Drosophila melanogaster: one gene and its partners. The protein of the gene in region 3 interacts with the protein of the main gene of each other region in a pairwise test. Each region holds a gene or a part of one and is shown on either strand. Other genes may lie near its edges. The genes, in order: Ndf, RNF220 and CG14932.

What was found.
Region 1: the proteins of CG14932 (region 3) and Ndf interact in a two-hybrid assay, tested with the Drosophila melanogaster proteins (one large-scale study listed by BioGRID).
Region 2: the proteins of CG14932 (region 3) and RNF220 interact in a two-hybrid assay, tested with the Drosophila melanogaster proteins (one large-scale study listed by BioGRID).

The regions. Positions count from the first base shown.
Region 1 is NT_033779.5:10,001,972-10,005,728, reverse strand, and holds the start of Ndf (Nucleosome-destabilizing factor), read right to left. Parts: upstream 1,898-3,757; 5' UTR 1,683-1,897; coding exon 1,603-1,682; intron 1,420-1,602; exon of another isoform or gene 1,195-1,419; coding exon 1,158-1,194; exon of another isoform or gene 686-1,157; intron 306-685; coding exon 223-305; intron 162-222; coding exon 1-161. UniProt on the Drosophila melanogaster protein: Nucleosome-destabilizing factor that is recruited to genes during transcriptional activation and colocalizes with a subset of trimethylated 'Lys-36' histone H3 (H3K36me3)-enriched regions. Binds DNA (in vitro).
Region 2 is NT_033777.3:22,724,718-22,728,474, forward strand, and holds RNF220 (ring finger protein 220), read right to left. Parts: upstream 1,698-3,757; 5' UTR 1,553-1,697; coding exon 356-1,552; 3' UTR 167-355; downstream 1-166. Other genes in the region: CG45049 (uncharacterized protein), read left to right, coding at 2,590-2,774.
Region 3 is NT_033779.5:11,788,123-11,791,541, reverse strand, and holds CG14932 (uncharacterized protein), read right to left. Parts: upstream 1,624-3,419; 5' UTR 1,539-1,623; coding exon 1,537-1,538; intron 1,484-1,536; coding exon 1,427-1,483; intron 1,367-1,426; coding exon 1,328-1,366; intron 1,271-1,327; coding exon 1,232-1,270; intron 1,173-1,231; coding exon 1,116-1,172; intron 1,060-1,115; coding exon 606-1,059; 3' UTR 531-605; downstream 1-530. Other genes in the region: Tsp33B (tetraspanin 33B), read left to right, coding at 167-274, 330-449; CG14931 (uncharacterized protein), read right to left, coding at 2,211-2,708, 2,765-2,889, 2,952-3,000.

The DNA of each region.
Region 1 (3,757 bases), 1.8 Mb from region 3:
CGCAGCTTTTGTTCACCTGCTCGTCCACCTCGGCGGGGTCGTCGATGTACTTTTCGATATCCGTCATGGCGTGTCGGAAAGCAGCGGGCTTGCTCACCTTGGCCAGTTCCTCCTTCCACGGTCCTTCGAAGGGCTTGATGTTGTTCTCCTCAATCCAGGCACTGTTAAATATTACCCATGTTATTACAGGCGCTTTTTGGGGTTGGCGTGCATTTTACTTACAAATTCCTAGATCCAAAGAAAAACACGCATTTGGTATTCGCCCGACGCTGCTGGCTGAGCAGATCAAGTGGAGGATCGACAATCTAAGGAGAGAAATCAACATTAGCTTCCACCACATCATATCTTTAAAGTCTTCAGAAACATTTTAAGCAGACAATGCATTTTACTCTATAAGGATGTGCCTATGAATTCCCTCGAACTAATCTATTCTGTGATAACCCATTTACAAGACTTTATCACGCACGAAACAAAACATATGCAAATGTTGCTTTTTCACTTCCAATTTCAATCGAAAACCACTCTTTAACTTTACATTTGAGCTAGGAATTATAAGGATTTAAAAATATATCCTCATTTTTCTAGCAACTTGCACAAAACCAATTTGATTTGATAAAACCTTAGCTGAGGTGATTCACTATCATTAGCACATTTCACAAAACTCTAAAGAACCGATTGGTATATCACAAGATTACCGATGAGAATGTTAATGTCAAATAAAAGTTAATATATTAACAAAACTCCTTTTGAACGGCATAGAATAACGAAACTGGGAACTGATATCCTTGGCAACGTCTGTGTTCAAACTCCACGCCTGCCGCGCGTCACTCCCCCTCCTCCGAGTGCACATGCTGCTTTCCAGCGGCTGTACACACGATCAAAAGCTGCTGCTCGTGGCCCCCGATAGCGGCTCCATGGAAGAGACCATTTCCTCCGCCGGCAGCGACAACAGCACAGCGGCAACAACAACAACCACAACGGCAATGGGGCAATGTGTGCAAGTGCGTGGCTGCGGGCAGAGCGGCGGCAGCGAAGCCGGCAGCGTTGAATCGAAAAGTACAGTCGAAAACAAACACAACAACATGGCAGCAGAGAAGGCGGCAGCGACGCGACGTCGACGCGGCGTAAACATTCCGATCGCCAACTGCAATGCTTACCATTCCTGGCCACGGAGTGAAGCCCTTCATTTTGGCCCTGCAAAGAAAATGCGCTATCAGAACAGGGAAAACTCATATTGGCCGCAAGGAGGAAAAGCAAGAAAAAAGGGCGCGCGCGCGAAAAAAGCGCCAACGCAGCGAAGTCGACGTCGCGCGCCCGGAATCCACGCACGTAGCTCCGGAATTATGGTCGTCATTCGGATGGAGCTACATGGATACTGCGCTGCGTGGCTGTCAAAAAGGCAGCGCTAATTGCTTTTTTATGCACACTTCACTGGCTCTTTTTTTCTTCATATTTTTTTTTCCGAGCGCCAACGGTGCGCAATTGAGGTTAGGTGTTTGCTTTGATTTTCATCTCTCGTTTTTTTTTTTTTCTTGTTTCTTCACGGCGCAGCGCAGCTGAGAATACAGCGAATATATTGATGAGTCCACGGTCCCGGCTTACCATATCAGATCCTTGGGTTTGTAAATAAATTTCTCCGTCGTATCGCCGCCCGACAGCGACAGTTTTTTATTCTTCGACATTATGTTGTCCAGGCGTATGTTGAACTTGGTTATTTTGCTGGCTTGGGCGGACGGTGCACGGAAGCTAATGGGTTTCTCGGATCGGAGCACAAATCTCGGCGTCGGGATTCAATGAATTTCGGAGATATTCGCTTGCAGGCCACCCGTATTTTTCTTTTTTTTTTCGCGTTGTGTGTGTGATGCGCTGCCGAACCGATATCTGCTCGAGCAATGCGATAGCAGGCGGGCGCCATTTTGGCTGGCAATCGGCCAGTGCTGGAAAGTGGCGGCGTTGCTACGTCATGCAATCGGACTGCCAACCCGCCTCGAACTCGGTAAATTAATATGGGTTCCGAATTAAATTATTTAATTAAGTATTACAAGTGAATATTATTATCGTGATTCAATGCAAATTCGTAAAATGCACTTGGAATCAATCCATGCTTTTTATACGCTAAATTTTTTTTTAAATACTTTATTTAATTCTAATGTTTAGATGTTAAATACAAAGGCGGGCATAAACTATTGAAATTTAATTCCATAAGAAAATAATTTCATTGATACACATTTTTAGTTGGAGATTATTAATAAATTTTGTTTTTTGGCTTATACAAATTCCGTTTAAGTAAAATAATGATAAAGATAAATTTAATTAGTATTGCACAGTAAATTCTTTATAATCTGTGCGATCTTGAGCTCGGAAAACTAACAGTTAACTACAAGTCCGTCCCCTTAGCCGAAAAATAAATTACCACACGTCCAACTCAATTTTTCTCTGATTCTCAGCACTCAGCATCAGCCATATAATCCTCATAAATATGAAACAATCATATAAAAAGAGAATAAAAAGCGATTGCTGCTGTGGTTGTGGGTTGCGGGGGGTCATGCGACAACCCTGCTCGGTAAAACTTTTCGGGTGACCTGGCAAACAAAAGGGTGAAAAAGGGAAATTGCGGCCGTTAAAGGGGTATTGTATTTGTGCTAGGAAAAGAAAGCGTGCTTTTGGGTTGAATTATTGCATTTTGTTTGGCAATTAGCAGGCGCGAAATGGGTGAGAAGGATTTATTGGGACCAGATTGCCATCAATTATAAGGGAAAAAACGTACATATGTTTCTCTAGTTTTGATCGCATACTCGCTAGCAAAAAAAAAGGGTTTAAGTACATTCATTTGTTTGTGTGTTTCAATTTGAGTTGGGGAGAAATTAAAGTTTTTTTTTTTAAATTCCGATCTGACCATTCCGATAAAAGTTGATATCGAGCTTATCTTAAAGCTTAAAACATCGATTAATTTGGAAGGCAAGAATTAGTTTCCTGCTCTTCTTCATTCTAGCTGTGCAAAAAAAGTCGGTTCCGTTGACCAATAATAGCAAATATTTATTATTCTTACTCAAGTATAATAGATTTATATGTGAACTATTGGTCGTAACTTAACTTTTTTCTGACTTCCAGACGAAAGTGTCTTGAATCTCAAGTTCCGTTCTTGTTTACGATCTTCCAATTGTGCTGACACTTTGAAAATAGCCGCTTCTCTGTTTACAAGTGGGTATGTACATGTATGCGTGTGTGAGCATGTTGTTTGGAATTGGTTGGAATATTGGAAATGATTGCCAATGGAATTCAGTCGGTTTCGCGCATATTGAAAGTTGGAACGTAGGATTTTAGTAATATGTATTTATTTCTAACTAAAATTATGTTTGCTAATTTACATTTGATTTGACTTTCAGAAAATATTGGACTGGATTGCATTTTGGATTGAAGACCCTTAACTTGGTATATTATTGTAAACATAATATAAAATTGTACGTAATACTATTAAAATATCTTTGCAGCTGTTCAACTGAGGCGATGTACAACGGCGCTACATCCAATTCCGATTCGAGTGAGTAGATTCCAAGTGATCCGATTATCATATTATTTTCCTGCATTATCCTTGATTTTTTTTTATGAAAACCACTCACTTTATCAAGGGATAATTTGGGGTGGATCGTATCGATCCAATTGCTTAGACAATTAATACCCTATTCACTTGCGCACATGTTAAAGGAACTCAAATAATGCAGAGCATTTACTTATTTAGAGGCCTTAGAGAACATCT
Region 2 (3,757 bases), on a different chromosome or scaffold from region 3:
TAATTTATCATTTTTGTGATTCGAAAATAATATTGGATATAATATTGGATTGATTGCTTTTTTATTTTAGTTCAAAATAAGGTATTTAAAATAACTTGTTTGCATGTCTTTAAACGCTTTTCCCTTCCTACATGCTAATTTCGTTAAATAAACTTAAATATTAATTATGTTTTCTGCGGTTTATTGCAATAGTTACATGGTAGGCTTATTGTAATGTCACGTAGTATAATTGGTATTTGTAATCTATATAAATAATATGTATAGGGGATTATCATCTAAAGCTGCGTCGGGATGCAAAGCCTGTTTTATGGCGCAAGCAATTTGGCAGCGGGGATAACAAGTCTGTGATGGACGTCTACAGGTAGATTCGTCGCAGGTCCTTCGGCGTGGTAATCGAGTTGCACTGCGGGCACAGCTTTCGCGCGCCGAGCGTCTGCAACCAACACTGCTCGCAGTGGACGTGCCAGCAGGACACGGAGATGGCGGGATTCTTGTAGTCGTCGATGCAGATCAGGCACTTGTACTTGCCCTGCGCCTGCTTTTCGTAGAGCCGCAGCTTGGCCTTCAGCGATTCGATGATCTGCTGCTGGTTTTGGGAGGTGGATCGCGTGGACCGCGACGTAGACGGCTCCTCGCTGGCTGGTGGAGCCTCCACGTTGCTTGTGCTGGCAGGCTCTTGCTCGGTGGCTTCGCTGGAATGGTTTGGCTTGGGCCCATCGCTGGAGGAGATAAGTCGGCGCACGTAGCTGGTAACATCCGCCTCGGAAACATTTCCCTCTGTGTCCTCGTTGACCAGTGGGATCACATCGCCCTCGCCATACTGCGTAGGACCATAGATGTGAGTGTCATCCTCGTCCACGTTGAGATCTTCGTCCTCGTCGTCCTGCGCCTGCTGACTGCCATTGTATTTGATTCTCTGGCCCAGGCCCAGGGCGGAATAGCCTCCTTGCACGAGAGTGGAGACGCGAATGCGCTTCTGTCCCGCCCACTCGTACTCTTCATATTCCTCGCTGTCCTCCGAGTCCTCACTCGAATGCCGCTCACCATTGGCCTGACCATTGCGGCGGCTCTGGCGCAGGCAATGATTAACATGCTCTTGGATGTTGGACTGCGGAAAGTTGTGGTTGCACACGGGACAGGTGGGTTGGCTCGATTCGGCAGCAGCTACGGACGGAGTTGCTGCAGCTGGAGGAGGAGCAGCTGCTACCGTAGGATTTACAGTTGCTGGTGGGGCAGGAGAAGCCGGACGCTTCCTGGTGCGCTGGCGCTGACGGGCCTGCCGATTGCGCTGCACCCGCTGGAACACGCTCCACGGTTGTCTGCCCCCCGATACCGAACCGGATTCCTCGGACGCGGTTGCTCCGCTAGTTGGGGTCGGTGGAGTGACAGCGCTAATGGGATTGTGCAATCGCTCCATCTCCACTTGGCAGTGATCGGCCACCTGACTGCGCTTGATCTTCACGTCGCATGTGGGACAGATCACGTCGTCGTCGCTGTTTCTGCTCAAGTGCTGGGCGAAGTTCTCGCCGTTGGACACCGTGTCCGTAGCCATCGATTCCTCGGATCCACCGCGGACTCTTAAGGGTAAACGAAGTTAAAAGATTCTGTAGTCGGATTTTGTTTTGTTCGATAATCTCTGTCCAAGCCACGCGACGCCGATTTCTTACGTTCTCGTACGGTGGAAAACGGTCACACTGATTTCGTTATTTTTCGTGTCAGTGGAAGTGGTCATTGCGATATACATCGTAAAACCGTTACAAAAGCGCCAAGCACAGTGATTAATATGCTTAAGCAATAATTAAAATTTTATTCACTTAAAAATATCTTTATAATAATTGATTATTTGTTTGAATTCCGTGTTAATTAAAACTTCAAAGTTTGCATTTTGCATTCCAACAACTCTTTTGACCTTAAGTCTTACAATAAAATAATTAAACGTACTGATTTCTTAATTTTTACTCTACTCTGGTTGGTCTTAATACAGCAATATATATATATTATCAGATTGCGTTGTTTACATGCCCGATATAACATGTGACAGATAGTGTCTCTCCCTCACTGTTAGGAAATTTTTATAAAGCACAGCCCCCGCTTTGATAAAAGTTTAAACATCCGAAATGTAAGCTATTTTAATTTCCTTTCTTCGTTAAATTAAATAATTTGACGGTAAATGTAAATTAACTGATAGTTCCATGGCACTTTATCGCTATCGAGAAATGCCCAGCCAAAACGATAGTATCGAGACAACATCGATTTAAGTTCCAGCTCTATGAGGGAAGCAAAACATTATTATTTTCGTCGTTTTTATTTTTTGATTATATAGAAAAGTCAGTGGTCGAGGAACATGTGAAAGTGGAAAAGCGACAGAGCTTTTCAAGCAGAGTGTAAGTGCATACAGGTTGAACCCAAAACCGACGCATATTTTTGCGAAAGTGCAAAGCAGACGGCGAGAGTGTGAAAAGGCAGCGAAAAGAGAATAGAGAAAAAATATAGCAGCCAGTTTCTCCTGGGCGTGAGTGTGTGTGCGTGTGCCATATTGTTAAATAAGGCAAATATAGTAAAATAAACGTAGAAAAAACAGCAACAACTATGCATCAGCAGTACCAGCAGCAGCAACAACAACAGCAGCAGGGTAACCTTGTTGGCTACAACAACAAAATGAACGTCTTGCCCAATTACACGCTCAGCGGAATGAGCTCCTTTGATGCCGAATCGCTGCCAGATTATTCAGAATTTGATTCCGAATCGGTAACCCTGGACTATTACAAGGAAAGGTATATTCCTGAACTCAAACAGATCGCATTTTGTTTTGCTTCCGTTCTTCCGCATAGCACACAACACACACACACACATATATAAACATACGTGTATACGAATTCCCTCGCCCTTGCCATTGTTGTTGTTTTGCATTTGGCCGTTTGCCCCAATTTTGCCTGCCGTTACCGTTACGTTCTATATAGCAATTAACCGTTATGATCCTGTTGCCATGCCACTCATTCACACACACACACTCACACACACAAAGTCGGTACTCGCTCATCTGCGAAATGTGTTTTTGTTTTTATTCCACATTTCTAGCCGCTATATGTAAAACTATATTTATCTCCGTCTAGCCCGTCGAAATATCTTGAGATACATTAGACGCAACATCTACTTACACAAACATATGCATCTTTGTTTGCGTATCTGAAGATATTAAAATTGGCAGGGAATCGTGCGAATTAGGCATAATATGCAGTTTTAACGAAATTTTGATACACTTCCTATTTGTTAGCAACTATTGAGCAAGATCGATAATAAGAAGACTCTGTTTTATAATATTTGTTCAAAATTTCATTTCAAGATGCTGATATTTTTTTTACAAACGTACATAAATTGTCACAAGTCTGACCTATTCTATTGTACTCTCAGTTAGGGTATAACAATGGAATGCGAATGGATAATTAGCATGTCGGTATTTCCAGCATTCAAAATGCTTAGTTGCAGTCCGCCTTGCAGCATAATTTATGTGGGGACTGCACCTCATCACCCCAGCTTCCGTCTTTTGTCATTGAGCCAAAATACGCCCCCCAATGATGACTGAAATATTCCGTCGCGTTTTTGTCTGGCACAATAGAGCGATTTCAATTTAAACAATCCCAAACTCATTCAACTGTACCAACGCATTGTTTTGTAAATTGCGTCAGTTAATACAAAACATACATACTACATTGATGTCTACAATTCTGGTCAAAATAGTATAGCTAAAGTTTATTCT
Region 3 (3,419 bases):
TGGTAATGGGCAACGTTTTAAAGTCAGAACAATGGTGAATATTGGAGCCATATTCATTAAATTCTGTCAAATTCATTAGCGTAAGTCATATTGAAATCAAAAAATTTGAATATGCAACAAAATTGTATTTTAAGATAAGACCTCCCTAAGTCAATCATCTTTTTAGATCGTGCTTTGTTGTATGACCAAGTTCATAGTTCACCGGCAGAACGAGGGCGATGGCTGCGATAATGTGGGACTCACGGACGATGATGGACATCCCTTGGTCGTGGTGGTGGGTTTATCCATTTACTATCCATCGATAGCACCTAAATCAGTCCATTCCCCAGAAATATCCGTGTAACGTGCGCTGTGTAACAATTGCCGAGGATGATCTGGTATCCGACAACGTTCCCGATATTAACTACTGCAATTGCACCGAAATGGACGACGAACCGTGTGGATACTAATATTGTGCTTAATTTTACTTTTATATTTTATATTAATTTAATTAAATTTACGAATTTGAGTTAACTTCATATCCAATCGGTGAACGCAATATATTATTTATTGGATATTATAGGATACTTATTACATGGATGTTGTAACATTGGATGTTAAATGGATTAACGGCGCATCCTCTTGGATTTCTTCAAAGTCTGACCCACCAGTTGAGCAATATGTTTGCGCAATGCCAAGAAAGGCTTCAAGCAGACGCGCTGCTCGACGAGACCCACAGCAATGCGGTGAAAGAACTCGGTGACATCCACGGGCTTGGCCAGCAGCTGACCTTGTGATACCGAGCCGTTTTCCTCTGAGGCCTCGGGCGTAGGGCTACGTGCCATTCTACGGATGAATGGTTCCAAGTTGCCCCTGCTACGTTGGGAAACGCGAGCTCCAATGGACTCTGATAGCGCATTATTGGCGCGAGAGAAGGTGAGACGCTCCTGAGATCCCGAGTCGTTTTGATCCGGAGTCTCTGGCTTCTGTATCACCAGTTCGGGTGAGGTGGGGTTTTTCTTTGGAATTTTCGGAAACTCGGTAATTTCGGTAATCTCCAAAGCACTGTGGGGACGTCTTCTGTAGAGAATCCGAACCCGTTATTCCACGTTCTACATTACGAAACTATAACTTACGGTGTACCCGCCTCATAAGTGACATATGGGGACCAGTCTGCCCCATCCAAATCCATACTAAAAGGTTCACAAAATGAAGAAAAATGATTTTGTTTTATAACATTAAATTTACTCACTCATCTTCGTTGGAACAGTCATCATCTTGATCACTTTCCCTGATTATAAGGCAACTTAAAAATAATCTATCAAAACATTATATTAAAAAGACTTACACAGAAGACTCGCAGGTAATCTCGTCACTTTCGGGAGCACTAGAAAGGAAATACATATATTGTCAGTGTTTTTCTGAAGCTAAATTAATGAAGTCTTACGTAGCTTCTTGATATTCATCATCATCGCCCACAATATGAGGAACCTTTGATTGGGACCTGCAATGAATAATCCATCAATATATTTAATGAACTGCTTTAATTTTAATTACATTTTTAACAAATTTTCAACGCCTAGCTCCTGGAAAATGACAATGTGAAAAGCCGTGCGGCCAGTGTGTCCACTCCAAGGAATGTTTAATAAGAACATCAGTGTTGATCAAAATACTGTTGAAAACTTACTGGAGCATATGTAATTAATATATAAAATTCAGTTAAAGCTCAAGTCACGTGTTCTTAACATTTAGTAAAAATAGAAATTTATACTAAAGGTTTTGGTAAATTTGAGCCTTAAAATTTTGGTTAAGTTTAGCCTTAAAATGGCAGTTAAACATAAAAAGTTTAAATTCCTATAAAAAGACGTACCAGTGTTGTACAACAGGCTTAATTTACAAACTTCCAAATACAAATGTAATTATACATATTTATGTAAAGTCAAGCCATCACAATTTAATTCCACCTTTGGAAATGTTTTTATATATTGGGTGTTCGTTTTTATTGAACTTGACATGCTTATGACTAAATAGTTAAGGAAACTGGAATTGGAATAAATACAGCTCGACCAAAAACACAAGCCACAATTATGCAATAAATTCAATCCTTTAATGTGACATATAGTTAACTTATTCGAGTACTCTTTCTTAGACATATGTGGGCTATAAACATTGTAAAATCTCTACTGCATTCGATTGGGAAACATAAACCACAAGACATGGGCGGAAATAGCCTATTCCTGGCTGATTTCATTGGCATCTGAGAAATCCGAGACGGCGACGCTGCTGGTGCTGATTAAATGTCGATCGGGCATTTCGCCGATGGAAGGAAGAGTGGTGCTATCGCTGGCGCTGGACAAAGATATCTCCTCCCAGCTGACGCCGGAGTCGCATTCGTTGCCCGGGGAAACGGGTGTGGCGTCGGCATTGTGCGGCTCATCCTCCGGTGCCTGGCCAATGCTGATAGCCGGCGTTGCTCTGGAACGTTTGCCAACTAGTTCGACGTTTTGATTGCGATCCGCAGCAATGCGCTTGCGATCGGGAATTTGATTGCCCGTGGTGGGACTCCAGTCCATGGCACGGTGCACCAAAGCCCGAAAAGTTATACGGATCGGCTCGCTCGGTGGACTGTCCATGTCTGAGGGATTTCTTCTGGACACTTGCGGCGACATGATCATCGTGGAGTTGTGCAAAGCACTGGGATGCGAAGTCAAAAAATCAGACTCGCTCTCCTGTCGACATTAATGAGAAGCTAATTACTATTTATTGTTTATTGTTAACTGAATACTTTTCCCACGTGCAGAGCCCTTTCTAGATCCTCATCCTGGGGACTGATACTAGCTGATTGCTGCACGACACTTGCTAATTCGGTCATTTCCTCAATATCCATGCCTTCCTCGTAAACGCCTGCGCCTGAGCAAATAGTTAGTTATATATGTATGTATGTTAAGGACGTCTAATTTAGAATATCTTACTTTTGAGGAAGTCAACTAATCTCCTGTTTGTTCGGCTGCGTAACTCCATTTTCAATGGGACAAAAACAACAACTTTAGTACTAATATTATGTGGTTACAATGCATTTGCTCTTGTTCTTGCTGCTAACGGAACTTTTCGCCAAACTGAAATCGTCTATAACGCCATATCGATAGTTAAGATGTGATCTCAAGTAATGGTCACACTTAGAGATGGTGCAACAAGTTTTCGAGTTGTATGTGAAAATATTAAAAACTATTTAAAAAAAAAAAAAAACGATAAGGCTCTGAAAATGTTGTGGTTATTATAAAGTGATATAAGTGATTAAGTTCTATAATGTAACTTGATAAAATTGTATATGTTTTCCTCGTAATTTAAGTCCAGTCTTTTAATTACCTCAACAAAAAGCCTTTAAACTTCGTTTGGTATTACACTTAAAAAACAATTTATGGGTAAAAAGCTGGGCTCCA